Callithrix jacchus: one gene and its partners. Each later gene encodes a partner of the first gene's protein in a complex. Links are inferred from orthologs where the notes say so. Each region holds a gene or a part of one and is shown on either strand. Other genes may lie near its edges. The genes, in order: THOC1, SARNP and THOC7.

Region 1 (10,220 bases):
TGAAACCCTCAAAACTAAATTCAAAAAGGACAATAAATAAAGAGTGGGCAGTCTAATACTAAACAATATTATATGGTATTTACTACATATGTAATATAACATACACTAATTACACACTATAATATATGAATATGTTGCTATCAGAGAGAGCAGCCAAGGATTGTATAGCATTTGAATTTTACCAGCAAATAAGAAACTTTATGTACCCACCCATAATTCTTTTTTTCTTTAAACCAAAATTAAACCAAAACTAATAATCAGACCATAATACGATTTCAAGAGTTTAACCTTTAGCTCTTATTTAAATTGTTACCATGGTAGCATGGTTGATTTTTAAAATGCATCTTTCTTGAATTTGTTTTTAGAAATAAAATTTTGATACAGTGTCAAGCAAAGAAATGAGATCTCAGGATCAGAAGACGTCTTCTAGACTAAAACTAGGAAAACGGGTTCTCTAAAGAAAACTATCCCAATATTCATTCACTTTCCAATGCTATATATACTATATTCCACTTTATGAACATGCCACAAGTTATCCATGTCCTATCCAGAGATGTTTAGGTTGTCTTCCCACTCTTTGCTCTGACAATGTTAAATGAACATTCTTGCACCAGTCTCCTTGTAGATGAGCTGATTTCCTCAGGCACTGGGCCTTCAAACTTCCACTGCAACCCACAGTAAGAAATTCATTTTATATTGCAACCCAGTACATATAAATGCAACTAGAAGAATCGTATATATAAGTAAGGCTAATATTTCACAAAAGTATATTTCCTATTTCATTAAGAAAATGCTAGTTGAAATTACTAAATTGATGCTACAAACCACCAGTAATTCTCAAACTTAATTTTTAAAAACACTATTCTGATCAATACACCTACTAGTGGGGCACAGACATCTCTAATATTCAGATAGAGTGGCTGTAACATCAGACTCCTACAGCAGCACTGGCAAATTATTTTTATTCACAATTCTTACAGAATCTGGGTATTTTTTTTTTTTGAGACGGAGTTTTGCTCGTTACCCAGGCTGGAGTGCAATGGCGCGATCTCAGCTCACCGCAACCTCCGCCTCCCGGGTTCAGGCAATAATCCTGCCTCAGCCTCCCGAGTAGCTGGGATTACAGGCACGCGCCACCATGCCCAGCTAATTTTTTGTATTTTTAGTAGAGACAGGGTTTCACCATGTTGACCAGGATGGTCTCGATCTCTCGACCTCGTGATCCACCCGCCTTGGCCTCCCAAAGTGCTGGGATTACAGGCTTGAGCCACCGCGCCCAGCCCTTACTTTCTACTTTCTATGAGTTTACTTCTCTTCTGAGTGACTCTCATTGCTAGACTCTTACTTAGCTTGGTTTTCAGATTTCATTCTTTTTGAAAGTGTAAAACAAGGCTATACATTTCTCTTCTGTGTTCTGTGTTCTAGATCTCAAAGTCTGAACATGTAGTGTTTTCATTGTCATTTAGCACTAGATTTTCTAATTTCCATTATGATTCTTCTTTGATTCAAGGGTTATTTAGAAGTGTGTTTAAAGAAAATTAAAGTATTTTTGCTTTTGCTATTCCCATATCATTTACATAAACTTGTGATTTCTGTAAGACGCAGCCTGTTAAATTTAAATTATTTTGTTAAATTCTAAATGTATTAACACCAAATTTTTTCTACCAAATTTATTAAATTCTGTGAAAGGTCTGTCAAAATTCTACTAGATGGTGGGTCTTCTGGGTGGTGGATGGTTAAAACTGACCCTAGGTCAACTTCTCATTCTAATTCTGTCAAGGTTTTGAGAATATATTCTTGGAAAATAAAGTTTAGAATGTATATATTTCTATTTTTTCCTTTTATCTTTAGGCAATGATTGCCTTTATTTTTAATAATGCTTTCCACTTTTAAGCCTTTTCTGCCTGATATCAATATAACTATGCCTTTAAAAAATATCTTTTAAAAATTATTTGTTTCAACCTTTCTACATCTTTATTTTTAAAGTATATTTCTTATAAACATATAGATGGATCTTTAAAATATAACACCAATTTCTGTCTTTGAGCCAGAGAGTCCATTTCCATTTATATTTAAATTTAACCATACTGTTTTGTACTTTGTTGTTTTCTGTGCTTTTCTCCTCTCCTACTTGCTTAATTTTACTTGCTTAAATTTTCTGTATTTACCTTTTTTAACCCCTCAATTTATTTAAAAATTACATATTCCATTTATCTCACATACTTTTCAAGCATGCTTGACTTAAACCCTAACATTTTAAAATTCTGACTACTCCTTTTTGTCTTAACATGTCACCTTTAGCAAGTTTACCTTTTAAAATAACCCCAAATAATAATTATTACTATTTCATACAGTGAATTCTTGATAAGATTTCTTCATGTTTACCAAAGTGTTTACATAGTAATCCTCTCCATAATTTACTCCTTTCTGGGTTCAGTTTCCTTAAGACAGCTTTCTTACTAGGGACTGTTGATAATTTCTCACAGTTTTAGTCAATTACTCAGTCAACTACACCTGTTTAACTTGTTACAGAATTTGGAGTTGAAATGTTGAAAAAGCAAGTAATAATTCTAGAAATGAGAAAATATAGTCCTTGAATTTACAAAATGGGCAGATTTAATAACAGACTAGACATAGGTAAAGTAAGAATTAATGGATTAATTAATAATTAAGAAATCACCCAGAAAGCAATACAGAAGGAGCAAGAGTTGGAAATGATGAGTTAATGATAGTTAAGGAGGTCCAACAAACATCTAATGGCAAAAAGAAGTAATAGAGCATGGGAAAGACATTTTTAAGCACTCATCCCACTGTCTTCTGATTTCTTTTGTTGTTCTTGAAGTCAACTGTTAGTTTAACTTTGTTCCTTTGTAGGTTTTTTTGGTTGTTGACTTCATGTACAGAGATACGGATTTACTTGGTTTATCCTCCTTAAGTATTACATTTCTTGATCCTATGAATTCAAGCCTATCTTCAATCATTAACTCAATTCTGCCTCTTTCACATTATCTATTACTTCTCTCTGCCATTAGATGTTTGCTGGACCTCCTCAACTATCATTAAGTCATTGTTTCTAACTCTGCTCCTTCTGTATTGCTTTCTGGGTGAGTTCTTATTCATGTATTGACCCATTAATTCTTACATTACCTGTGTCTAGACTGCTATTAAACCTGTCCATTTTGCTATATTTTCTCGTTTTTAGAAGTATTACTTGTTTTTCAAATTTGCCTTGTCCTTTTTGATAGTGTCATGTCCCTGTGTTTTCAATTCCTTCTTATTTTAATTTTCTGAAATATACTTATTTTACACCCTTTATCTTATGATTTTATTATCTAAAGTGGCCAACTTCTGTTGCTTGTTCTGTCTGCCAATTCTTGCTCATGGTGGACTGTTTCCCTGAGAGTTTTTAAAGTTTGGATGGTGAATTTATCTTTGGGTTTTATTTTTTTTAATAACCTTGTGAATATAACTTTAGATATTTATCTGTGGGAATCTTGTTTAGTTTGGGTTGAAGATTGGACCTTCAGAAAGATTTTTATTGCCAGCATGGGACTTTCTAGCTCACTATCTTAGCTTGAGGTAGGATTTTTCCTACTGCTGGTAGGAAAAATTTAAACTGTTAACACTGCCTGAGAGCAGACTTATGGTTACAATTTCTCAGGGAATACTTTCCCTGTCACCTACACCTTGGTAAAGGCAGATAAGCTTCCTTGTTTCCTGTGCCAGTGAGCGTGCCCCCACCCTGCCCTTCTTTTACAGATGTGTAGTGCTTCAAAAATTTCAGCTTTGTTCAGGGGAAAACTTGCTCACAAATTTGTGCAGGCCTAAGGCCTTTCTGTCCTTTCTGTGATTATTAAAACCCAAGTTCCCTGGTTCTCAAAGCTTGGAATCATTAGTGTTGCTCCCACAGAACCGTATCAGTTCATAGGCTTACTCTTCTATTTGTTTTGATTCCTTTTGTGAATCTTTATTTTTTTGTATTTCTAAAATTATTTTATCAGAACTTCTAGGTGTTTTATGGTGGGAAGCTATATTCTACTGTGCCAAAGTCAACCACAAAAAACTTAAATTTTGTTTGAGCTCTTTTCATAGCTGAGAAAAGGTTCCATTCTACTCAGCACTTGACAAAAGCAACACTTCATGTGAAAAATGTTCAACTTGCCTTGTTTCTGATTTGCAGGCTTCCATATTATCAGGACAAAGATTCCAAAGCCTTGTTAACTCCTCACTACAAAACAGATACACAAATAAATACATTTTTTATGGACACCATCCTCATGTGCCTTGAAACTGAATAGAAAAACAATACAATGCAAACAACAGATTTGGGATGTTGATAGTATGAGTTTTACTTTTCTCAATGATTTCTGGTATTTACAATACCTAAAATTATTCTCTATATAAGCATATTATTATCTATTATAATTCTGACTAATAATGATATAATCTTTAGGTTGTTTCCTAAAAATATTCAAGCATAATATAAAGCAATGAATTTGAATTTTAACTGGAAGGTAAGAGAACTCAAGGATTATGATATCTTGCAGCAACTAGAAGTGAGCTGCATCAGTCTAAACAATTCTACTGTCTGTGAAATGGAAAAAAGTGGCATAGCCATTTGATGTTAAGAGATGGAGAATTCTTACAGTAACATCTTTAAAATACAAAAATAAGAACATCCCACATAAAGGCAAGTTCACCTACTTTCCCATCAGAATTTTTTTGCTGGGTCCTTTCCCTAGGAAATCCTCGGGTGCTGTTCTCTTCCGAATTATTCTCGTAGGTTTGGTATCTGATGTTCTGTGGTGAACAAAACATACACTATTTTTTGAATTACAAATGGATAGCAGAAATAGAAGAATGTTTAATGTAAAAGAAAATTTAGTTATTGTTTTCCTCCTAAAAAAGATGAAAACTGGCTGGGCACAGTGGCTTACACCTATAATCCCAGCACTTTGGAAGGCTGAGGTGGGTGGATCACCTGAGTTCAGGAGTTCAAGACCAGCCTAGACAACATGTAAAACCCTGTCTCTACTAAAAATACAAAAATCAGCTAGCCATGGTGGTGCATGCCTGCAATCCCAGCTACTCATGAGGCTGAGGCATGAGAATTGCTTGAACCTGGGAAGTGGAGGTTACAGTGAGCCAAGATCGCACCACTGCACTCCAGCCTGGGTGACAGAGCGAGATTCCCATCTCAAAACAAAAGATGAAAACTTCATGTTTCTGATAGAACAATTATCAGAAATAAGACAAAAATGCCACATTATAGGGCAAATTACACAGAATATATATACAGTCTTCTCAATAATTTATATAGATGTTTGCTCTAGGAACTTAATGACAAGAAGTTTTTGAGGTTAAAAAAAATACAAACAGAGGTACATCAAAGTGATTGTACTCTTACAGAGTTCAACTTACATTTTTTATATGAAATATATATACATATCTTTACATGCTATAATCATATCAAAGCATACTTTGAAAAGCCTTTCTTATATATAGTTCTTGTGATGAGTATGTATTTACCTTTCTTTCACAAAACTTGGGCAACCTTCATTTTTCCATGAGTTCCAGTTTTCTTCAGTGTTTAATATATGCTGGGAAAAACAAATTCTATTTTGGTTAATGGAATCCTCTGAAATTCTCTTTCGTGCTAAAAAGAGGATGTAAACATAAAAATCACATACCTCTACCATCTTTGAAAATCTTTCTCCATCGGGGGGGTTTTCAGATAGTAGCTGTGATTAGAAAGAATATACTAAGCTTTCAACAACTTTCTGCATCATAGGAGTGGTTTGTAGGCAGAGAACCAAGGAGTGTTTGTGGTCTTGTACCTGAGCTTAACTTTATCCTTATTTTCCTATTTGGGGCTGAAACAAAGAAAATTCTAAATTTCCATTTTTTCAATCATGGGTTTGTTGCGTGTTGAACTTACTTGATAAACTGATTTTGTAGTATCTTCAATCCAAAGTGATTGTTCATCAGTTAAAACATAGTTTGAACTAGGGAACAAAGCAATGAAAGCATGCTTGAGTTAGAGCAATGCATATTCAATTTTAAGGTTTAAAAAACAGAAGGCATGTAACATGTAATATGCTGTGGATAGTGTCAAACATTACCAAGATAAACATAGTCACAAATGAGAGGATTATAAGAGAAAATTCTTGCATTTATTCCTCAAGAAGTTGGTACTGAAAACATAAAAGCATGTGCAGGAGAATAAAACATTCAATTAATCCATCAGATTAGCTATGAACAGAGCAATAAATGTTTCCTAAAATAAGCTGAATGTGAAATGAAAACCTCTGATTTGATATTAAGATATTTGTATACATAATGCACATTCAGTCTGGCATGCTACATTCCTTTAAGATACATTCAAAATACAACAAATAAAAACACCCAAACCCTAGGAAAGGTAACAGGCAAACCCATATTGTTACCAGCTGCCATTAATTGAGAACTCATTATGCACTAGTGATTTAAAGCCATCCTATAAATATTGATAGCTGGGATCTGAACACTTTACATGCATTATTCACTGAATTCTCAGAACAAATACAAGTACGTATTAAACAGACTATGGTGGCTCAATGATTTGCTCAAGGCCATAAAGCTTTAATTCAAACCTAGGTCTGACTCCAAAGTCCTTGATCTTTCTACTATGCCACACCAAACATCCAAAATAGATAGGATAAGAAATAACATTTTTTGAGTGTTTACCATGTGCTAGTACCTTAAAATTACAAGTGTGAAAGAGCTGTACTACAGCCAGCAAATGATAAGCCTAGGATGCAAACCCAGCAGGTAGTAAAGTCATTATATAACTAATACTGCATTGCTCAGTGTCCTTAACACAAATACTGTCAAGTAATAGTGAGCTGTACTTTCATTTATGGACAAGACAGAAGGATATGGATGGAGGGATTTAGACAGCAGACAGTCTAATGAGGTTTTGTGAAACTCCGAAGAAATGAACTCCTTTTGCTTAAAGATTTCCTTTGCATCTTTTAGCTCAAATGTCCTACACAGCTCCACACCTTATGAGACATGTATTACTGGTTTAGTCTGCAAATCAGCTTTGGAGGCGGTCTGAGGGAGGTGAGAAGGGAATGATGAAGTTTGGACTCGAGAACTCCTGGTAAGCCCTGGAGTTGGGCAGGAAAAACTCACACTGACAAGACATATTTAACATCTTTTCCTTAAACAAATATCGTAACTAAAAGCCTTCAATAATCAGCTGCAATACATGTGTTTTAGGGATGCAGCCCTTATACATGAAACGTCCGTTTCATAAGCAAGTCCTTTTTTTTCTTGGCTACTGTTTACAAATTGTTTACTACCCATTTTATCTTACCTTTTGAATTTGACCTGCCCCTTGAGATATTGGAATAAAATGAGATACTGCAACAGGATGTGTCGACGAAAGTTACTGTCACTCAGTTGTAAATCCATCAGCTACTCAAGAAACAAGCAAACACATACAAAAACAACACATTAAAATCAAGTTTTGCCTGATGGAACAAAATATGCTACTATAGAAATGGAAGATTCCAATTCAATTTAAAAAACATTTTTTGAGAGTTCACTGCATGGGAGGCATTACCACACAAGCCCACAGACAGCCCAGTCAAGGTTTCATTTTGATTTCTTGACTGTTTTATGCCATGATGTATTCATGTTGGTATAACAATGCTCTATCTGTGGTCCTGACATGAGGATAAAATAAGGCAAAAATATAAAAAAGTAAGCTAGGCATGGTGGCACAAGCCTGTTAGGAAGCTGAGGAGGAGGATCACTTGAGCCCAGGAGTTTGAGATCAGCCTGAGCAACATAGCAGGACTCTAAATTTAACAAATAAATAAATAAATAAAATTAAAAAGTAAAACCGAGGCTACTACTTTCCTACATACGAAGGAAGAAATAATGGCTAAAGAAGGCATGGATAATAGCACAATATCAAGGGGTACCACTCATTTTTGCAGCCCTACAAAGTGCCTGCAACAGAGGCAACTAATCATCCCTGATTAGATGGGCTTTGCTTTTAGCTTTTAATGAAAATTGCATCATACTTGTATTATCACAGAATCTGGATTAGAAAGGAACCTGAAAGCCATTGGGGAAGTTCTTCAGCGACCCTGCCATCCAGCTCTAAGAATAATCTCCAGTGTTGAAGGAAGGTCATTCTGATTATGCACATGGAGCACTGAACGGAAGCTAGTCTATATCCACATTCTCATGCTAGTTCTGCCTTCGAAAACTACAGCAACAAAGGAAAGCCACATTCTTCTAAATGAAAAACCAGTAAGGCAGTTGGAAGCGTCAGTGACTGGTTTTTGGTTCAATGTCCCAAGTTCCGCTGGCTCTGCTTTACATGGTTTGGTACCACCTACTAATGCCACCTAACACACACAAGCCTTCTTATTCACTGGCAACCCCTTCCACACTTCAGCTCCAGGTCTTTAAAGAAAATAATTAATGATCAGCCTTCCAGTCAAGTTTCCCTCAGTTTTAAGGATTGAATATATTTGATTGTTATTTATATTAGCTCTCCTATCCCAAATTGGTGATGTGAATGACCGGCTATCAACCTTCCCTTCCTCCAGGCTCTGGGCAACTGGACTGTCTCCACTTAGGCTGTTAGTTCCTTGCCCTCAACTCCACAAACAGGCATATCTCTCTGCTCCAGCTACCCACTACTGTGGCCACAGCTAGGCCTGGGGTCACTCACAGCTGCCCCAGATCTGAAGTCTTTAACTCACAATCCTATCTCACCACAGCCTCCATCCTTCCCAGTCTCTTGCTCAGTTGCTCCCAATATACCTAACACTTGGATCTTAATGAGACTTTAAGGCCCCTAACCCATCTATTCTCTGCCTATCTATTAGTCCCATCCTATTTTAGTCTAAAGAGTTAGCAAACTTTTTCCTAAAGTGTCAAATAATAAATATTTTAATTAAGGTTATGTGGGCTAAGAGGCATATTATGGATACCATGTAGGTATTTAAAAATCTAAAATGTGGCCGGGTGTGGTGGCTCACACCTGTAATCCCAGCACTTTGGGAGGCCGAGGCGGGTGGATCACTAGGACGAAAGATCGAGACCATCCTGGACAACATGGTGAAATCCCGTCTCTACTAAAAATACAAAAAATTAGCTGGGCATGGTGACATGTGGCTGTAACTCAGGAGGCTGAGGCAGGAGAACTGCCTGAACCCAGGAGGCGGAGGTTGCGGTGAGCCAAGATCGCGCCATTGCACTCCAGCCTGGGTAACAAGAACAAAACTCCGTCTCAAAAAAAAAGAAAAAATCTAAAATGTAAGGGGGAAAAAAAAATCCCAAAACCACCAAAAAAAATCAATACAGATGGTGGGCCAGATTTGGCCTGTAGGCTATATATATAGTCTGCCAACTCCTGGTCTAGACTACAACAAATCAGCTGGGCGTGGTGGTGTTCGCCTGTAGTCCCAGCTAATCTGGAGGCTGAGGCAGGAGAATTGCTTAAACCTGGGAGGCGAAGGTTGCAGTGACCAAGATCGTGCCACTGCACTCCAGTGTGGGTAGCAAGATTTTGTCCAGGAGGGAGGGGGAGAACAAGTGTTTTTGTCAAGATCAGCAATGACTTATTTGTTGTTTTGAATCCTGTGAACACTCTTTATTGACCTCATCCTACTTGATATGCTTGGCTTCTGTAAGTCCATGCTTTTCTAGTTTTTCCTCTAATCTCACTGGTTACTCTTCAATCTTCTGCTCTTCTCCATTCTCCCTTATCCATGAGTTTTCTCCAGGATTTGATTCAATATTTTCTTCTCAATCTACACTCTCCCCACTAGCTCATTTCATACACTCTACAGTTTGAATTACCATTTATAAACTGGTAACTCCTACAACTATACTCTCAACCTAGATCTTGTTCCTAATCTCCAGATTTGTATACTCAACAAGCTATTACACATTTCTACTTCAGTGTTCAACTCACACTCGATCAGATTTCATGAACAAAGTAAAACATATCAGTTTCCTCCACAAAAGCTGTTCTCCAGTGTCAGCTAATTAAATGAGAAGCTCCAATATCGAGCAAATTCAGGAAGGCTTCCTGAAGAAAGCAGCATCTAAACTCTCAACAAGGAATAAAGATAAAGGTGGAGAGTTGGGGTAGTGGGGTGGGGGAGCAAGAAGGGGAGCCAAATAAGAGACTGACCTATTTGAAGGACCAC
Region 2 (10,320 bases), on another chromosome or scaffold:
GGTAAAAGGCTGAATCCTATCACCTACAAGGCCCTGCGGGTTTGTCCCTCCCCTATCATTACCTTATTACCATTGCTCACTCTGATAAGCCAAACTGGTCTTGTGCTATTCCTCTAACGCTTTGGACATAGCTCATTCCTTCACCTCCTTCAACTCTTTGTATAATCATCTCCTTCTTAATGAGGCCTTCCCTAGTCACCCTACTTAAAATTACAATACCCTTCCCACTGTATTTCCCCATCTCCTATTTTTCTCTATTTGCCTTATCACCATTTGACATACCATACATTGTACTTTTTATTTTGCCTTCCCTCAGTAAAATACAAGCATTATGAGAGCAAGGATTTTGTCTGTATTGTTCACTGCTATGTCCCTAGCACCCACAGTAACTGGGACATGGCAAGTGCTCCTTATTTTCTGAATAAATCCCAAGTCTTCATCATCAGCTTTCAGCTCGAGTGAAAGACCCACATTTCCAACTGACTACCTGACATCTCTTCTGCTCAAAACTGGCTTCTCCTCCTCCCAACCCAGATTAAAGGTATCACTGCCCAAACCCTAAAGTCACCTTTCATTCTTTCCGTAGCTAACTGATCTATATACTAATATATTCTACATCTTAAATGTCATTCAAATTCATTCCAATTCTTTTGAAATCTTGATATAGTTATTCAATTGACAAATAGTTATTGAGCACCTACTGTGTGTCTAGTATTACCTTGGATACAAGGAAATAATCATGAGCAAAACAGAGTCCTTTCTCATACAGAGCTTACAATCTTGTAGGGAACAAGGCAATCAATGATCAGATCCATTTTTCGTATTTTCAAATGAGGATAATAGAGGTATTAACCTTATACGATTATTATGAGAATTAAACCAGTTAATGTATATAAATGGCTTCAAACAGTGTTTTGCCACATAATAAATGCTAAGTGTTAGTAATTAATGAAGATACCCATCCTGAAGAAATAAAATAAAAAAGGCTGCAGTAGTTGAAGTATGAGTAACTATCCTGAAGAGACTGGCAGGGATATAATTTAAGGGTTTTAAGCAAGGGAATGGCTTCTATAATAAACATCTAAGTGATGAAATCACTCCCGCAACAGATCCTATCTGCCAAGAAAACAAACTGATCACATCAAGTTCCTCCTTTCTTTTTTTTTTTTGAGACGGAGTTTCGCTCTTGTTACGCAGGCTGGAGTGCAATGGCGCGATCTCGGCTCACAGCAACCTCCGCCTCCTGGGTTCAGGCAATTCTCCTGCCTCAGCCTCCTGAGTAACTGGGATTACAGGCACGCGCCACCACGCCCAGCCAATTTTTTGTATTTTTAGTAGAGAAGGGATTTCACCATATTGATCAGGACGGTCTCGATCTGATGACCTCGTGATCCACCCACCTCGGCCTCCCAAAGTGCCGGGATTACAGGCGTGAGCCACTGCACCCGGCCCCTAAGTTCCTCCTTTCAAACTTCCAAAGGGTCCCAGCCCTACTTATCATTACATGACAAGGGTCAGAAATCCTTACACAACTTAGAAAGCCCTTTTCAATACCACTCTGATTTACCTTTATGGTTAGTTTACCTATTTTCCTTTCCAAACTATCTTCAACTACCAACATATTTACTCATTTTACTATTCAATACAAATGTCTCACTGTTTTCAGCACTCTGACATTACTACAGCTCTCCTCCCCTCTTCAATACTTTTTTTTTTCTGATATTTGACTGGAAATCTGATACTGTTACAGTTCAAGGCATTTTCACCCACAGTTCAATCTCTCTTTCCAATTGTGTTAGAATGGGCCAGGCACAGTGGCTCACACCTATAATCCAGAGGTCAGGAGTTTGAGACCAGCCGGGCCAACAACATGGTGAAACCCCATCTCTATTAAAAATACAAAAATTAGCTTGGCATGGAGGCACATGCCTATAATCCCAGCTACTAGGGAGGCTGAGGCACTAAACTTGGGAGGTGGAGGTTACAGTGAGCTGAGATCAAGCTACTGCACTCCAGCCTGGGCGACAGAGCAGGGCTCCATCTCAATTAAAAAAAAAGACTGGGTTTCTACAAAATTCTCAGGAATTTGCTGCTAAAATGATGTCATGTATCAATTCAGATACATGATACTATGTTTCCTTCCTACTTCAAAGCATATTCCATTCCTCTGAGGTTCCATACCAAAGCCCAAAATTCTCTTAATGACAATGGACAGATTTTTTTTCTTTTTCTTCTTTTTTTTTTGAGACAAGGTCTCCTTCTGTCACCCAGGCTGATGTGCAGCGGAGCAATCATCACACAGCTCACTGCAGCCTCAACCTCCCAGGTTCAAGTGATCCTCCCACCTTAGCTTTGCAAGGAGCTGGGACTACAGGTGTGCACCACTATGCCCAGCTAATTTTTTAATCTTTTGCAGAGACAGGGTCGCACTATTGTTACCTAAGCTAGTCTCGAACTCCTGGCCTCAGCCTCCCAAAATGTTGGGATGACAGGTGTCAGTCACTGCTCTGAAACTACAAGTGTGCGCCACCATGCCCAGCTAATTTTTTAATATTTTGTAGAGACAGGGTCTCACTATGTTGCCTAAGCTAGTCTCAAACTCCTGGCCTCAGCCTCCCAAAGTGCTGGGATTACAAGTATGGATCACTGCACCCAGCCAAGATTTTTTTTTAAAGGCAATAAAACCTCAAGTCAACCTAGAAGTCAGGATCATTACATCAAGATCACCAGTGGAACCAAACATAAACGTCCTAAATATCAGAATCAAAGGCATGAGTTCTTTTTTTCTTTTTGAGACAGAGTCTCACTGTCCGCCAGGCTGGAGAGCAGTGGCACAATCCAGGCTCATTGCAACCTCCACCCCGGGGCTCATGCGATTCTTGTGCCTCAGCCTTCCCAGTAGCTGGAACTACAGACACGCACTACCATGCCTGGCTAATTTTTGCATTTTGAGTAGAGGTGGGGTTTCGCCATGTTGCCCAGGCTGGTCTCCAACTCCTGGCCTCAAGCAATCCACCCATCTCAGTCTCCCAAAGTGCTAGGATTATAGGCATGAGCCACCATGCCTGGTCGAAGGCATGAGTTCTTAACCAGAGGTCCATGGACTCCTCAGGGCTACAAGGTAGTTTTATGAAGCCCCTCAAACTGCATGCAAAGTACGTGTACATGCCTTTTTCTGGCGAGAGAGGGTCCATACCTTTCATCAGAGTTTCAAAGATATCTGTGACCTCCAAAAGGTTAAGAAGTGCTCTAGAGAAAAAGCAAAGACAAGCAAATGTGATTAAAGAGTGAGTCCTTTTTAGGCTGTCAGGAGTGCCTAATGTTTTCTTAGACTGCAACACTGAAATCAGGTCAGAGGACTTTATGTAAAAGTTACTTATCCAGTCAAATACAAGTTTAATATAGATCTGACAAACACAGATTTGATGGAAGGAGGAACTCCATAAACAAACACAATTATAAAAACAAGTAAGTCATGGGGCAGCTGGTGACTTACTCCAGGGATTTCAAAAATAGGATAAATAGTGTGGTGGCTCATGCCTGTAATCCCAGAACTTCGGGAGGCCAAGGTGGGCATATCACAAGGTCAGGAGTTCGACACCAGCCTGGCCAATATGGTGAAACCCCATCTCACTAAAAATATAAAAATTAGCCAGGCATAGTAGCACATGCCTGTAGTCCCAGCCGCTCAGGAGGCTGAGGCAGGAGAATCGCTTGAACCTGGGAGGTGGAGGGAGCAGTGAGCTGAGACTCCACCACTGCACTCTCCAGCCTGGGCTACACAGTGAGACTTTGTCTCAAAAAAAAAAAAAAAAAAAAGACAAATAGAAAGAAAATATTAAGTCTTCTATGCATAGTTCCTTTTTGTCTCATTCAAAAATTCCTTTTCTATGTTTTATAATGGTACAGAAGCATACAATTTCTATAAGTACAGTATATATACACCAAGTGGAGATTATTGCTCAATTTTTCTTTTACTCATCACAATAATTATCAGGAAACCACTGATAGTCTATGCATTTCAGTACCACCAAGTTAACAATAACTTGAGAATAACACAAAAACCCACTAAACAGAGTTTAGAATCCAAGAGTAAGAAAAATATCAGCTTTCACAGAAAGACTAATAGGGGTCAACTAATAAGTGACTAAACAAAGGTCCTCTCCCTACCCTTAAGCTTTCTTAACAACAAAAACAAACAAAAAAACACTTCAAGCTTTAAAGGATCACTTTTCAGTTTCAGCTGTATCAGCCTGGTTTGTCCAAAACATCCAATAGGAAATCTACCTGTGAAACCACAGAGAATTAATCAAGATTAGTTTACCCTAAAAGAAAATACTCTTTGAAATTTTCTTTTTAATATATTTTTTAACTTTTTTATCTCTCTTAGTTGTTTGCAATCTACCTTAAATAAATACTCTCTCTTTCAGGAAAATAATAATCCAAGTATGAGAAAACTACCAAGATTCTCATAAGACAATTTAAAATAGCTTCTGTGATTCAGTGTCACCCAATGGTAAAACACCAGGAGATGCAGAGCCCATTGAGATATGAAATGGAACAGAGATAATCTTAACCTTGGAACTGTTTTTCCCAAATACTGCAGGTATGAATTCTCTCTGGTGGTAGGAGACGGTGTGTGAGGAAGGCTGGCAAGTGGAGAACCGCGTGAGAGAACTGGAAAACTTTTAAATCTGAGGTGTCTGTACTTCTATCTCAAGGCCTCCTCAACCCCAGGCTTCTAAGGTGAGGCCTTTCCCTGGTTTCAAAATTCTCCCTGGTGGCGTAATCCCACCTAGAAAAGGGGAGTGTCTGGGATCTATTCAAATAGCGACACACAAAAATGCCACCATCTGCTAATATAATAGGCGAGTCTCAGCTTCAGAAGACAGACTGGAAACATAATTCCAGGGAAGAAAAAGGGATCCTGGGTCCGACGTGGGGCAAAGAGGAGGGACCAACTGACGTAATGCAGACCAGAAGAGCAACGAGGAGTATAACAGGTAGAAGGCACTTACAACCTGGTGGACAAGGGTGACGGACGATACAAGGATGAAGGGAACAGAAATAACAAAAAAATATAGCAGTAAAACCGTGAGGAGAAATGGAAAATTAGGGAAGGCGTAGTGTGGAAGGGTGGCACAAAAGAGCTACGGCGGGAGCCAAGAAACAAAGTAGAAAAGGCTGCAAGGAGAACACGTAGGAGAAGACGCAAGTCACTGTGCAGAATTCAGTTCCCAGAAAAGTCCAACTGAGCCCTTCCCCGATTTACGGTACCTTCAGCTTATGGAGCTCCACCGTCTCGGTCGCCATCTTGTTACCCCTCACTCCGCTAAGCCCCCACCCGCTGCCTCCGCCTCCAGGAGCTCCCGCCTTAGGCGTAGAGATGCAAGGCTGACCAATCGTTGCCACTCTTGCTCCCACTACATACCATCAGCTCTTCCCATTGGTCAATAGCTGACGTCCCTCATGTCTCTCGGCAGCTTTCCCCACCTCTTTCAAAAGGGGGGACAGAGAGAGGGGCGGGCACTTATCTTACGAACGACAGAAATGGCAACCAATTGTGCGTCTGCATCACATATCACCAACCGCTGATTATGTTCCTCCAATAGGGAAGGGGCAGACGGAGAGGAGTCACTTCCTGGAGACTTCAGATGTGGTAGCCGGCGCCTCGCCCATAAGCAGACAGGGATCTGAAGCTGGCAGGTAGGGGCCGCGAGGACTAGAAAGGTTGCTAAGGAAATATGGTGGGAGGCGAAAGGGGCGCCGAGGAAGCGGTGACTTAAATGCTGAGAAACGAATGCTGAAGGGAGCCCTGAAAAAAACCGACGAACATGAGAGGAGGAAGCTGGGAGGGAATGGGGCGGGCTTAAGGAACTGGCGGGTGGCTGGGGCGGGCAAGAGCCGCTTCCTAACCAGACATCATCAGCTTTAGAGCTACCACAATTTTAAAGATCCGAGTTCAGTTGATCACTGCCGCCCCTGGAGTCAGAGCTAAGGCTCCATCTCTCGAAACGTTGAGCTCAGGTTCCTTCCTAACCCAGTCCAGAAGGCGTGGGCAAGTTGTTGTCGTGCCCCACGCTTGAGAGAAGCAGTGGGGATGCTGACTGCTGACATGCCACGGAGGTGAGACAGGGTGGACAAGCCCCAGAGAACAGGTTGGGACTAGAGCTTTACTCTGTCATCCCTTCTTAGTGGTTCTTTGATGATTCCATGACTTTCTCCTGGAATTCTGGGTGTGCGTGACCTCTTCATGGTTAACTTCTTCAGGAAAGTGAGATTTCCTGTTTCCCTTGCTCCCTGAAGTGAGTGCCCCAAGCCTACGCATACACCTTCATGTTACAGTTGAAACGTAAAGATCAGTGAGAAAATGACTATGTCTCTAAAATGTAGTGAGGATTCTTCTTGCCTTTTAAAGTTTTCCCCAAGTCTTCAGTTTTTATTTTCTGCGTGATGGGGAAGTTCTTCATTCCCAATAGAGTTCAGGGAATCTGAGAGACAGCTGGGAGAAAGCTCGAAGAGGGGCTGAGAAAAAAATGAGTTGGACCCTACCTGATCCCCCATTATGACTAGGATGAATGTGGGGGTGGCACACAGCGAAGTAAACCCCAACACTCGAGTGATGAATAGCCGAGGCATCTGGCTGGCCTACGTCATCTTGGTAGGACTGCTACATATGGTTCTACTCAGCATCCCTTTCTTCAGCATTCCTGTTGTCTGGACCCTGACCAACGTCATCCACAACCTGGTGAGCAGTAAACCATGCCCTTGTGCCCATCCCAGAGTTTCCCAACCACAAGCAAAATAAAATTACTAATTGTTTGGGGATTTGTATCTTCCTTTTGGGATCTTAACATCATTCTTGGACTGAAGAACTACTTTCTGCCCCTCACACTACCACCCTCCATGTTCCCAGGCTATGTATATCTTCCTTCATACGGTGAAAGGGACACCCTTTGAGACTCCTGACCAAGGAAAGGCTCGGCTACTGACACACTGGGAACAAATGGACTATGGGCTCCAGTTTACCTCTTCTCGCAAGTTCCTGAGCATCTCTCCTATTGTGCTGTGAGTCTATGAGGGAAATGGGGATATGCTGGGTTAGAAAGAGTTCCAAGAGCCAGGCAGAAAGGCCCATAGGGAAGCTGTTAAAAAGCAGGCTACCCATCTAAAACCCTTTGAAGATATTATGATATACTAGTTCTAAGCCTACAGAGAGCAATAAAATGTAGAAGACAATACTGTAATCAAGCATTCCTTACTGCCTCCTTGGTAGTAAGGAAATGAAGGGACTAAGATAAGAGCCAAGTAAAACCAAATGATTTTACACTGCCAAAAGAAGCAAATAAAGGCAGAACTGATATTAATCTTCAAAAACACTGTAGGGAGTGGAAGCAAAGAAGACTCTTAACAGTCACACAGACTGAACTAGCCTCAGCTGTCATTTGCCATGTCATTAACAATGAACAGAAACTGACTTATAGTCTCCAGTTAAAGGTACTATGAACCCCAGAGTAAACGCTATTGATATAGCTGGAATATTTTTAAGATAATTTAGGACTACATACAATAAAACTGGTCATTTTAAATAGAAGAGAAAGAACAGGGCACTGCAGTGCATGCCTGGAGTCCCAACTACTTAGGAGGCTATGGCAGAAAGATTGTTTAAGCCCAGGAGTTTGAGGTTGTACTGCACTTATCACATTTATGAATGGCCACTGCACTACAACCTGGGAAACATAGTGAGAACTGCCTCTTAAAAAAAAACATATAGAGAAGGCTACCCTCACTCACCCTATGTTTTTCTCTCCCCAGCTATCTCCTGGCCAGCTTCTATACCAAGTATGATGCTGCACACTTCCTCATCAACACAGCCTCATTGCTCAGTGTACTGCTGCCAAAGTTGCCCCAGTTCCATGGGGTTCGTGTCTTCGGCATCAATAAATACTGAGGGATGGGTTTTGGGACAGCTCCATGGGCATGGGGAAGGCACTGAAACAGAGGAGTATAAAAAAAATCTTTCTCTTCTCCATACCATCTTCTACATCTTGAAAGCCTGAGAACTATGCAACCTTTCCCAGACTCCCAAGAAAAGAAGAGATTGGCAAATGGGACTCCTAGGTCCAGTCCTGTTAGCGGCAAGTTTCTTTACCGGGTGAGGTAAGGGCCAGATCACTCTCCTCCATAGCAGGAAGCCATTTGGGCAGTTTGTTTGGTGATTACATCTTTCCATATCTTCTGCACCTACTACCTTCCAGCTCTGTTTTGCTGTGTATTTTTCTTCTAATAATTTTTTTCAGCTATGCCTGCAGTTTAATCAGCAGGAAGGGTAGAGAGCTGTCCTCATAAGGCTGGCGGGGACGGGGGAAGATGGAATACTGACCTAAAGTAAAAAACTTAAAGCAATTCTCCAATCCCCTCTACTTTGGTCCAGTAAGAGGTGCTCTTCACTCTGAGCTTAACACTTAGTAGGGAACAGATTCTCAAATGAGAAAAAGGGCTCCAGCTGTATGGGCAAAAAAGAGGGAAGATACAGGTTGCCAGTTATACATTTATAGAAAGATAATCCCCTGGCTTTAAATAGATATGTACATACAAATATGAACAAACTTAAAAAAAATACAAACCCTTGGATAACAAGGGGGGTTTCTGGGAACCCCCGTATCCTTCCCCCTCACCCAAGGGCAGTGGGCATGAATCAACTTTTTAAAAATGATTAATTTTGGCCATCCTTGCAGAAAACAGCCTGAAATTGGGTGATTGACCCACAAAGTGAAAGTTGAGGGAAAATTCAGTTTCCACTCTCTGAACTCTCTATCTCCTGTCATTAGGGCTACATGCTTTCTTGTTCTGTCTTTTAACTATTATATCAGGGAAAAGGAGAGGACTCCCTCCTGAAACGTGTCAGGAAAGAAGATAGACTTGTACCTTTAAAGGGCAGGAAAAAGTGTCATCTGCTCTAAAAGCAAACGACAAGACAAGGCATACAGACCCCAAGGAAATACCCAGTTCCCACACCTCAAAGGGATACACTGTCCAGCCCAGGTCCAGGCCCTAGGTTCTTTACTCTAGCTACCCCCTATTTCTTTGGTATCGTCAAAAGACAAGATTCAGGCTGGGTGCAGTAGCTCATGCCTGTAATCTAGCACTTTGGGAGGCCAAGATGGGTGGATCACCTGAGCTCAGGAGTTCGAGACCAGCCTGGGCAACATGGTAAAACACCGTCTCTACTGAAAATTAAAAAAAAAAAAATTAGCCTGGCCAGGCATGGGGTGCACACCTATAATCTAGCTACTTGGGAGGCTGAGATGGGACAATTGCTTGAACCCAGGAGATGGAAGTTGCAGTGAGCTGAGATTGTGCCACTGCACTCCAGCTGGGCAACAAAGCAAGACTCCGTGTCAAAAAAAAAAAAAAGAAAGATTCAGTTCCTGGGTGCTGGGGGAGGAGGGACAAATCAAACTCCATCCTGTGCTGTATACATCCTTTTGACTCCCTGACATTGATTTGAGGAAAGAGAAGGGATTTCAGCGTTGGAAGGGCCTCCTCAGTTTCTTCCGCCGCTTCGTTTTGGCTTCTCCCTTGGGTACTGTGCTGTTGGGCTTAGAGGCTGCAGTGGCTCCAGGGGCAGGCTGAGGAGCTGCAAAGAAGTTCCCATTGGGCATCTGCCCTGGGGGTGCTTGAAAGATCCGGCTCAAGAAATCCTGGAGATCAGCAGGAGGAGCATCTGGGGTAGCTCTGCGATAAAACAGAAGAAATGATAAGGCAAGAGATGTTAGAGTTATATGGTTACCTAAGTTAGATATACTTATCAGTTCCCAAACTTCCTAGAAAACAAGTCCCCTAGATTTCCTAAAGTAGGTCATCTGAAACCATATTCAAAACTGAAATAGTTGATAGATTATTGATAGAAATACCACCTACCTCTGCCGCCCACTGGTGCCTGGAATCCGAGAACCAAATGAGATGTGATAGGGAACTCTGTGGGTATCTGGGGAGATACCTACACGCTGGCATCCAGCCCACTCTATAAACATGAGAAATAACCAAAACTTTGCAGTTTAGATCACATAAAAGATCAGGAAGTATGAGGCTGTATTTCTAGAGGACAGAAGAGTACCTGTGATGTCATACACCTTTCCATCCATCACTGCAAAGTAGGTGATCTTGAGACCCAACATGCTCGACTCTGCCCAGAAGTCTCCTTCCTCAGCAGGATGTAGCCTATTACATTTAGCACAGTATCTGGCATTCTTAGGTTCCCGGTCCATTTCAAACCTCCTGCAACCAACGAAAGGATAGTTGCTTAATTTGTCAAGC
Region 3 (10,220 bases), on another chromosome or scaffold:
TAAAAGCATTTTATTAAGCATATTTCGATGTTGCTTCCTACCTTTTAAGAATAAAAAATGCCTTTTAATAAAAAAATCTATACTAAAGTCATTTTCCTTTGTGTAAGGAAATATGAATGAAATGTACATTCATATTTCAAAACAGCATATGGTACTGCCAAAACTTTAAATATCTCAAGAGCACACCACATTTTAAACACATTATGTTCATGCAGCTATTTCAATATTCCTGGGAATGGTGGGCAATTAGCCTATCTATGGCTTAGGATCTGTTTCCATGCTTGCGTCCTGAGCTTCTTCTACCTCTGAGAGTTTTTCATCATCTGTAATTGAGAAGGAAACATAAAAGCTTAGTCGAGTTTGCCTACATTTTATATTTAATGAACATATGAAAACATGTTTATCCTTTATTAACCAATACAATTAAAGCAAAGATGGCTACTAATTGAATCAAACTGTAAAATTTATGTGATAGATTTCACTTAAAAAAAAAATCTAGGCAGGTGTGGTGGCTCAAGCCTGTAATCCCAGCACTTTGGGAGGCCAAGGCAGGTGGATGACCTGAAGTCAGGAGGTTGAGACCAGCCTGGCCAACATGGTAAAACCCCATCTCTACTAAAAAAACAAAAATTAGCTGGCTATGATGGCATGTGCCTATAATTCCAGCTACTCGGGAGGCTGAGGCATGAGAATCACTTGAACCCGCGAGGTTGGGATTGCAGTGAGCCAAGACTGCACCACTGTACTCCAGCCTGGATGACAGAGCACGATTGCCTTAAAAAAAAAAAAAAAAAAAAAATGGGTCTTAGGCTGTTCTTGAAAAACAATCAGAAGGTCAGGTAACATAGAATTTCCAGCTGTCTACAGGGATATAAAGAGCAAGTCTCCAGTTCCCTAAAGCACCCAGCACTCAGTGGGTATGCAAATATTCTTAGGTACTGATTGCTTATTATTGCCTGCCTGGGTCCTGAGTTGTTACCTTATAGTAATCTACTACAGTGAACCAAGAAAAACTCCAAATCTATCATCCTTCAATTTTTCTTAATTTAAACCACTAGATATATCTTTAAATCCTGTATTAGTACAAATTAAGACTTTTCTATACATATTCAAGAAAGTTGAACATGAGTATCTTCTAATGTCATCCAGCTATACTGTTAAGAAATTGAAGGCATATTCTCTCTCCAAGATACATATTTCAAAAGGAACATCCCTGACTCATTTAAAAAATCTTCATAAACATTTATTTTGAGACTATTTCTACTTACTTTCCAATGTTTGCTGAAGTTCATGGATGGTACTAAGAAGAACATGAAACTGTTTCCGTCTCAATTCCAGCTGTGTTAACAAGAAAAAAATTTATACAAATGATGATCTATATATATATAGATATATATGATGATCTATTTATAGATAGACAGATAAATCACAAAGGCTAAATATCTATGCAAATACCTTATCTTCGACACTTTCTTTAATATGTGAAAGATGCTCTAATTCTTTTCCCAGAGCTTCTAGTTCCCTGGAAATAATAAAACAGTGTTACATTTTGCTGAATGGGGCAAAAAATTTACAATTAATAACTAACTTATTAGTTACTAGATAGAATTTTTAAAATAAAATTGAAAAAAAAACTTATAAGGAGTTATAACACTCCATTATGGTGAGACTTTTAAAAATGATTTCTTCTTAACTTTTAAATATGGACTTACTTTAATTAAAATTACACTTTCTGATAAATTTTTAAAGTACAGAAAAATACAGATAATAGAATAACAAGACCCAAGAAATGATACATATTGTAGAGCTTAACTTCAAGGGTCTTTTTTTTGTAAAAGAAATAAAACATTGCCAATTAACTTGAAATACCCTTTGAACCTTACCCCTAGTCCTCTATCCTGGGCCTTTTTATCTCCTCTACCTCCCACTCAGGCAACCACTATATCATTCTAATCCATTTTTACACATATACCTGTATCACTGAATAATATACAGTATTGGTATATAATATTTGAAAGGGGGTTCTAACTTTTATAAATTGTTATTATTCTATATGTGTTTCAGAAATTTAATAATAATTTTAAATTTATTATGTTTTTTCACTGATTATGTTTTGAGGAGTGTGTTTGAACAGTACAAAACTAGTTTATTCTTTTTTTTTTTTTTGAGACGGAGTTTCGCTCTTGTTACCCAGGCTGGAGTGCAATGGCGTGATCTCAGCTCACCGCAACCTCCGCCTCTTGGGTTCAGGCAATTCTCCCATCTCAGCCTCCCAAGTAGCTGGGATTACAGGCACGCGCCACTGTGCCCAGCTAATTTTTTTGTATTTTTAGTAGAGACGGGGTTTCACCATGTTGACCAGGATGGTCTCGATTTCTCGACCTCATGATTCCCCCGCCTCAGCCTCCCAAAATGCTGGTATCACAGGCGTGAGCCACCGCGCCCGGCCTAGTTTATTCTTTTTAACTGATATTTAATATTTTAATATATGAAGACCACATTTTATTTGTCCACTCTATTTGTCCATATTACATGCATTTATTTTAGACATATAGGTGGTAAGGTCAGAGGAAAATAAAATCTAACAGAGAAGTATTGGGAAATATAATATCGAAGACCTGAACCCTCCTTTTGAAACATATTTATTTCTGCAAAAATGAAATGCCTAGGGTAGTGTATCAGCATTTATGTATAAAGGTTAGTTCCTTTCAAAGTAAAGCTCTACACTTACTTTAATGTCTCATGCCTGTCTGGATGATGCTGGATCACTTTTGCCAAAGCATCATATTCTGAAAGACATAAAAATGTTTATCAAACTAAGGGCTTATCAAAACAAAATGTGTAATATCACAAGCCTCTCCTAACCACTTCCCTAGTACATCAAGAAATGAAATCATTGAAAGATGAGTATTGCCAGTTCTAGTTGACTGAGTTATAACTATAATGACACATAACATCAAAAGTGTTCTAAACAGGGATTTTAGCTCCCTAAACTTCAGCACTTTTTTTCCATTTATATGTTCTGGACAGAACATAAGAGGTCAGCATAAAAATAAGTGAACTTAAGTTATTACTGATTATCAAATAGACTGATTCTGAGAAGGATCTTACTCACTAGTTGTCCAAAAAAAAAAAGAAGAAAATCAGTGAATATATCCATCCATTAATTTGAGATGTTAGTCAACAGCAAATTACACTTCTCACTCATTCTAAAAGTTAAGATTTCAGAAACTTACAAATAACTTAAAATTCAAGTTCTACTTTCTGCTCCACTGAGACCTCCAAGATAAGTCATGTAACTCCTGTTAACCTTTCTTCTGAAGTGATGAATGACAAGATTTACTTAAAAGTCTCATTAACTAACAAAAACACTGCAAAATATTTTTAAATGACTTTAGAACTGATACTAAGTTGGTATATCTTACTGTAAATAGGGCACTAAAACTTCACCACACACATTTTAGACTGAAAAAATAAACTTTTAAAAAGAGGAAATTAATCTTCATCTTAACTAGTTAATTAAAAAGTACAATTCATTGTTTTAGAACTGATGCTATTAATTCAATAAAAGTATGATTTTTTTAAATACAATTTTTTTGAATTACAAAAGAATACATGTCCTGTGTAAAATAAAACAAAACAAAACCAGAGAAAACCTAAGCCATAAAAACCCACCACTTCAAAATAACCACTAACATTTTCTATTTTCTTCTAGTTTTTCCTATCAGTGTAACAGTTGTGATTATAAATTATGATTTTTATTTTTGCTTTTCTTCAATTTATATTATAGGAGTAGTGCCTCTAACATTAAAAATTATCTGGAAACAGCATTTAGGAACTACATAAGAACATACTCTAACTTAACAAGAGATTATAACAAAACTCAACTTTAACTTTCTTATTAGATATTCTAGATAGTCTATAAATATTTGCTTGCTTCATAGTTAATGAAAACTCACAGAGTTTAAATTCTTTTTCATTCATTTTTTGGAAAGTAGCTCTATTAAGCAAACAAACAAAAAAACCCAAATCATATATCTAGTGTATTTATGTAAATTGCCTCTGCTGATTAACTATTACATTATTTAGGCAAAAAGCTCCAAGATGGTAAAAATTTAATGCTTAAGAAATACTGGGAAAAGAAAAAAACAAAAGGAGAAAAACAGAAAAGAAATACTTGGATAATCAGTGTAATCCAGCAAAAACATTTTTTTCAACACAGACTTCTTTCTCTATTTTAAAGAATAACATAGTTTTAAAGAATTAAATTTGGATAATTTTTAAAAATCCAGGTTGATTCAGGCTGCTGAAGATTTTTCCTCACAACATTAAAAATTGCATGAAAATAGTAGTCAGTAATAAAGTATTTGCATATTAAATCCCTCAAAACTCTTACCTTGGCGATTTTTTCGTATTCGTTTTGCTTGAAGAATTTGCTTTTTGCACTCAGCAATTTTTTCATGTGCTCCAGCAATGCTACATTCTATATAAGAAGGTTTTAAAACTTAGTTGTAACAATATCAATAATCCATGTTCAATTTTAAAATGCATTTATAAATTAAATTCTATTGCTAACAAAATAGACACTAGTATTAAAGTACCATATATTAGAATGCATATTTTTGTAGCTAACATTTGCTGTATTCTTTCTATTAATACTGTAATTATTATTCTTTTACCACCAACCAAAGAAAATTGTTAGCAGATATTGTTTCCTTTATACCATACAAAATAAAATTACAGATAGAAACATTAATATTCTTTACCTATTTCCTTGTAAATTTTTTCATAATTTTCCATTTCTCTGAGATTCATATCATATACTAGTAAAGTTTTGCCCATTGAAAATTCACATTGAGACAGTGTGCTCAGCATACGCTGGTACTGGCTATATCTAATGAGAAAGAGAGAAAACCAAAATAAAGATGTTTGTAGACTGACAAAACTGAACTATTATAATGCAGGCAAATATTTGCTAATTAAATAAGTTCTTTGAGAGTCATTTGCTTATTTAAAATAATTCAGAATATCTGTTCCTTAAGTTTTCTTTTTATCAAATGTAGCACACCTGAATTTATAAACTAGTTACACATGCAAAGATGAGACTGTTGTTCTTATCAGTGTATGCTTTATTCAAATAATTATTTGCATTTTGTTTAAAATACATTATGAATTTTTTATCTTCACAATTCTGTCTCCAGAATTTACTCTATAAAATTATTTATGTGAAAAGCAAAGTTTACTATATATATATATATATATATATATATATATATATACACACACACACACACACACACAAATACATACATACAGTTGGGCATGGTAGCTCATGCCTGTAATTCTGGCATTTTAGGAAGTCAAGGTGGGCAGATTACTTGAAGCCAGGAGTTCAACATCAGCCTGGCCAACATGGTGAAATCCCATCTCTACTAAAAATACAAAAATTAGTCAGGCATGGTGGTGCATGCCTATAATCCCAGCAACTCGGGAGGCTGAGGCACTTGTACTGCTTGAACCTGAGAGGCAGAGGTTGCAGTGAGCTGAGACTGCACAATGGCACTCCAGCCTCAGCAATAGAATGAGACTCTGCGTCAAAAAAAAAAAAGATTTTGTGTGTGTGTGTGTGTATGTATCAAGTTGGTGCAAAACTTAAAGATATTGGCAAAAACCATGATTACTTTTGTGCCAACTTACTACATACATATACTTATTAAACACTTATATCCTAATGGGTCTGAATTTAATCTTCATTTCTCCTTACCAATCTGCCTTCTCTATGTTTATTAAACATATGGGAGGCCTCTGAAGAAAAGAAAAGGCCAAGAAAATCTACTCTTAATTAAGAGTTGACTCCACTGGACATTTAAGGTGAATAAAAATTTGATCTATTCACAGGACCTTAATGTATGGTCTAAAATCACATTAGGACATGGGTATAGAAACAACAGTGAAATAAAATACCCTTCTTCCTGGGACCCAGAGTTGCACCATTTAATGAAACTCTTCACTAGCAGATTAATTCTCCGATCATCTCCAGCACCATCTCCATCAATGAGGAGACGCTTCCGTATGACTTCGTCTGCAGGAAAGAAGAGCAATGCTACCATCTGGCTCTTGGTAACTTTCAAATACAAATAACCAATATCACTGTTCAATTGTTTATTCAAAAGAAAATTATTGAAATGCAAATGTATTTAATGCCACTGAACTGTACACTTAAAAATGGCTAGCTAAAATGGTAAATTTTATGTTATGCATGTTTTATATTGCATATAATAAAAATATTTATATAGTAATGGAAAAAAACGTTATTGCATGACTACCGTGTGTCAGGTACTGTTCTAGGGGCTGAAATAATAGCAGTGAAAAGACATCCTTACAGAGTTGGCAGTCTACTGGGTTGTTGAGTGGAAATAATTTTCAGATACAATCAAGGAAATAAGCCAATAATTCTTAGAAAACTTTTGTGAAACAATTTGCCCAGACAGACAGAAATCCAAATATTTATGTCTCTGGCCAGTGAAAGGCACTGATAAAATGAATAGACAAGAAATATTTAAAAGATGTAGTGGCAAACTAGGAAAAAAGAATAGGTCAGGGAAAAAGGAATGAATTTGTTAAATAAACATATAATTTAAGGCTGGGTGTGGTGGCTCATGCCTGTAACCTCAACAGTTTGGGAGGCTGAGGTAGGAGTATCACTTGAGCCAAGGAGTTCCAGACCAGCCTTAGCAACACAGTAAGACTCTGACTCTACAAAAAACAAAAATCAGCTGGATGTGGTGGCACGTGCCTATTAGGCCCAGTAACTTGGGAGGTTGAGGAAGGAGGATCACTTGAGCCTAGGAGATCAAGGCTGCAGTGAGGCATGATCTCACCACTGCACTCCAGCGCCTATAGGCAACAAAGCAAGATGCTGTTTCCAAAACAAATACTATATATATCATATATTATAAATATATAAACATATTATATATTTATATTATAATTTACAAATATTTATATTATTTTATATATAACATATATTATTTACTATATAATACATTATTTATATAATATATTATTTATACAAATATAAATATGTATAATATAATGCATATTATATATAATACATACATATTATATACATGTATTATATATATACATATTATATACATATGTATGTATTACATATATATTTAGTTATCTGTAAGGTTTCTTTCCCCATGAGAATTTTTTTTAAACAATACTTTTGCCCCAAGGAAAAGAAAAAAAAAAAAGCAGTGTAGATGACAATGATGACCAACAAGTGAGGTCCCAATCTATCTGCCTGGCAGTCCTGAGCTAGTGTTCTTACCCAGACGAAATAATCCTGGATCATAACAAGAGCAAGGCAAATTAAAACCACAGTAAAATATAATTTTTCACCTAATAGATAAGCAAAAATCAAAACATCTGATAAAACTGTTGGGAAAGGTGTTAGAAAACTGCACTTTTTTTTTTTAAAACAGTCTTACTCTGTCGCCCAGGGTAGAGTGGCTCAGGGTAGAGTGCAGTGGCACGATCTCAGCTCACTGCTACTACTACCTCTTGGGTTCAAGCAATTCTCCGGCCTCAGCCTCCCCAGTAGCTGGAACTACAGGCGCCTGACACCATGCCCAACTAAGTTTTGTATTTTTAGTAGAGATGGGGTTTTACCATATTGGCCAGGCTGGTCTTGAACTCCTGACCTTGCAATCTGCCCACCTCAGCCTCCCCAAGTGCTGGGATTACAAGTGTGAGCTACCGTGCCCAGCCAGAAAACTGTACTTTTATATACTGGTAAAATATAAACTGGTAATTCTTTGTAGGGCCACTGAACAGTAACAAAATTAAAAACGCACATATCTTCCTGACCCTTAATTCCAATTCTAGAAATTTTCCTATATTTTCACCCATGCACAAAGACAGAAATAAAGGGGTTCTTAGTGGTCCTGTTTGTAGTAGAAAGATTGAAAACCTATTCATCAATAAGAAACTGGTTAAATGATAAAACATTCACATAATATAATAGTATGAGCCAAAAAAAATAGTGCAGATATATATACTGATACCAGAAAACTCTCCTTAGATGTTAGGTAAAATGAAAACAAAACAGGCGCAGAGAAGCATATACAATATGTTGCCATATGTGCGAAAAAAGGAGTGTGTGCATGTGCATGTGTGTATTCAGAGACTATCCTTGGATGGATCCTCAAGAAACTTGTAATAGTGTTTATTTCTAATAAAACGGACTACAGATAGAGGTGGGAAAAGATATAATTTGCCTGCATGTCTTAGTAGAACTTGGGGATTTCTCTCTCTTTTTTTTTTACAGTATGCATTCGTTATTTTATAAAATACTGTATTATTATTTTTGGAGATGGAGTCTCACTCTGTCGCCAGGCTGGAGTGCAGTGGCGTGACCTCGGCTCACTGCAGTCTCCGCCTTCTGTATTCAAGTGATTCCCCTGCCTCTGCTTCCCAAGTAGCTGGGACTACAGGCACGCACCACCAGGTCTGGCTAATTTTTTGTATCTTAGTAAAGATGTATCTTCACCATGTTGGCCAGGATGGTCTCCATCTCCTGACCTCATGATCTGCCTGCCTTGGACTCCCAAAGTGCTGGGATTACAGGCGTGAGCCACTGTGCCCAGCCTCATTATTTTTAAAAAATAAATTTTAAAGTGTGAATAATTCCTAGAGAGCCTGCATATTGAAATAACAGCAAAATCTTTAAACAATAGTTCCTGTGTGTAGGCAGAAGTATTTTTGAGCACAGGTGCAGTGGAGATAAACTTTGGAAGGCAGATGGCTCCAGTTTTAAAATATATTCTGAGATAACATCAAATAAGCATTTTTAGAATTGGGTTTGGTTCTCAGAGTCATGGCTTTGGCAGACTGCTCAAGCTACATATTCATCAAGTGTTTTACTTTTACATTATAAAAATACAAACTAATGCTTTCAGTTTTTTAATCACCAACAATATTATATGAAGAGATTGAGACAAATAAAACAGTCCTGGATGGGCGCAGGGGCTTATGCCTGATCCCAGCACTTTGCGAGTCCAACCAAGGCAGGCAGATCACGAGGCCAGGAGTTCGAGACCAGCCTGGCCAACATGGTGAAACCCCGTCTATACTAAAAATACAAAAAAATTAGTTGGGCATGGTGGCAAATGCCTGTAATCCTGGCTACACGGGGGGCTGAGACAGGAGAATTGCTTGAACCCAGGAGGCGGATGGTGCGGTGAGCAGAGATCGTGCCATTGCACTCCAGCCTGGGCGACAGAGCAAGATTCCATCTCAAAAATGAAACAAAACAAAACAAAACAAAAAAACAGTCCTTGAAGAGATTAAAATGCAGAAAATAAATATTAATAGAATTTTCTTACTACAAGCATTTTAACTTTATTAAAAGGAAGCATCTAGTGGGTGAATCTGGTGGCACTGGTGCTATTCAACAGTTCCTTTGCTAGTCTTATCTGTGTTCCTCCTCTCAAGTCTCCAAGAAAATACCATTTTCTTCCTATATGCCTAGACCTCCAACTATATTGACAACTGGGGATTTCAAATGTAAATGGATTCATGTAATAGGCAAACAACATCTGAGGCAAACTGGGGAGTGAGTGCCCTGACTGAGAGGAAATATATTAACAGATCTAAGAGATTAAAGTTTGATGCTATGGTTTGAATATCCCCTCCAAAACTCATGTCAATATTTAACTGCCATTAAAATGACCTGAACAGACACTTCTCAAAAGAAGACATACAAATGGCCAACAGGTATACGAAAAAATTCTCAGCATTACTAATCAGGGAAATGCAAATCAAAACCACAGTGATACTGCCTCACTCCACTGAGAGAGGCTACTAGCAAAAAGGTAAACAATAATAAGTGTTAGTGAGGATGTGAAGAAAGCAGAACTCTTATATACCATTGGTGAGAATGTAAACTAGTACAGCTATTAATGGGAAAACGATGGAGAGTCCTCAAAAAACCGAAAATATAAGCTGGAGAATTCACAACCTAAGTGTCCACACATCAATGAGTGAATGAAGAAAATGTAGTATCTATACATCATGGAATACTACTCAGACATAAAAAGGAATGAAATAATTGGGCGTGGTGGCTCATGCCTATAATCCAGCACTTTGGGAGTCTGAGGCGGGTGGATCACCTGAGGTCAGGAGTTCGAAAGCAGCCTGGCCAACATGGC

What was found.
Region 2: THOC1 (region 1) and SARNP share a complex: the UniProt entries of both Homo sapiens proteins name them as parts of the transcription/export (TREX) complex. The link is inferred for Callithrix jacchus from reciprocal best matches to the Homo sapiens genes THOC1 and SARNP.
Region 3: the proteins of THOC1 (region 1) and THOC7 are in contact, whole or in part, in a cryo-EM structure (PDB 7APK), measured with the Homo sapiens proteins. The link is inferred for Callithrix jacchus from reciprocal best matches to the Homo sapiens genes THOC1 and THOC7. Residues at the interface, in NP_005122.2 of Homo sapiens: Leu10, Arg14, Glu46, Gln53, Arg56, Glu60, Ile63, Ile64, Asp99, Asp102, Cys103, Leu104, Pro105, Arg146, Gln151; in NP_079351.2 of Homo sapiens: Tyr47, Gln51, Leu54, Ser55, Ser58, Gln59, Phe62, Gly65, Lys66, Leu69, Val70, Met73, Arg76, Glu77, Asn80, Ile84, Ile88.

The regions. Positions count from the first base shown.
Region 1 is NC_133514.1:63,802,287-63,812,506, reverse strand, and holds part of THOC1 (THO complex subunit 1), read right to left. Parts: intron 7,462-10,220; coding exon 7,361-7,461; intron 6,006-7,360; coding exon 5,939-6,005; intron 5,742-5,938; coding exon 5,691-5,741; intron 5,601-5,690; coding exon 5,530-5,600; intron 4,822-5,529; coding exon 4,705-4,821; intron 4,229-4,704; coding exon 4,163-4,228; intron 1-4,162. UniProt on the Homo sapiens protein: Component of the THO subcomplex of the TREX complex which is thought to couple mRNA transcription, processing and nuclear export, and which specifically associates with spliced mRNA and not with unspliced pre-mRNA.
Region 2 is NC_133510.1:63,830,600-63,840,919, reverse strand, and holds the start of SARNP (SAP domain-containing ribonucleoprotein), read right to left. Parts: upstream 5,327-10,320; 5' UTR 5,314-5,326; coding exon of another isoform or gene 5,278-5,313; intron 3,250-5,277; 5' UTR 3,204-3,249; coding exon of another isoform or gene 3,197-3,203; exon of another isoform or gene 3,170-3,196; intron 1-3,169. Other genes in the region: ORMDL2 (ORM1-like protein 2), read left to right, coding at 6,575-6,748, 6,917-7,068, 7,816-7,951. UniProt on the Homo sapiens protein: Binds both single-stranded and double-stranded DNA with higher affinity for the single-stranded form. Specifically binds to scaffold/matrix attachment region DNA. Also binds single-stranded RNA. Enhances RNA unwinding activity of DDX39A.
Region 3 is NC_133516.1:45,607,884-45,618,103, forward strand, and holds part of THOC7 (THO complex subunit 7), read right to left. Parts: intron 6,083-10,220; coding exon 5,965-6,082; intron 4,895-5,964; coding exon 4,767-4,894; intron 4,484-4,766; coding exon 4,397-4,483; intron 2,790-4,396; coding exon 2,732-2,789; intron 1,523-2,731; coding exon 1,456-1,522; intron 1,339-1,455; coding exon 1,269-1,338; intron 324-1,268; coding exon 256-323; 3' UTR 1-255. UniProt on the Homo sapiens protein: Component of the THO subcomplex of the TREX complex which is thought to couple mRNA transcription, processing and nuclear export, and which specifically associates with spliced mRNA and not with unspliced pre-mRNA.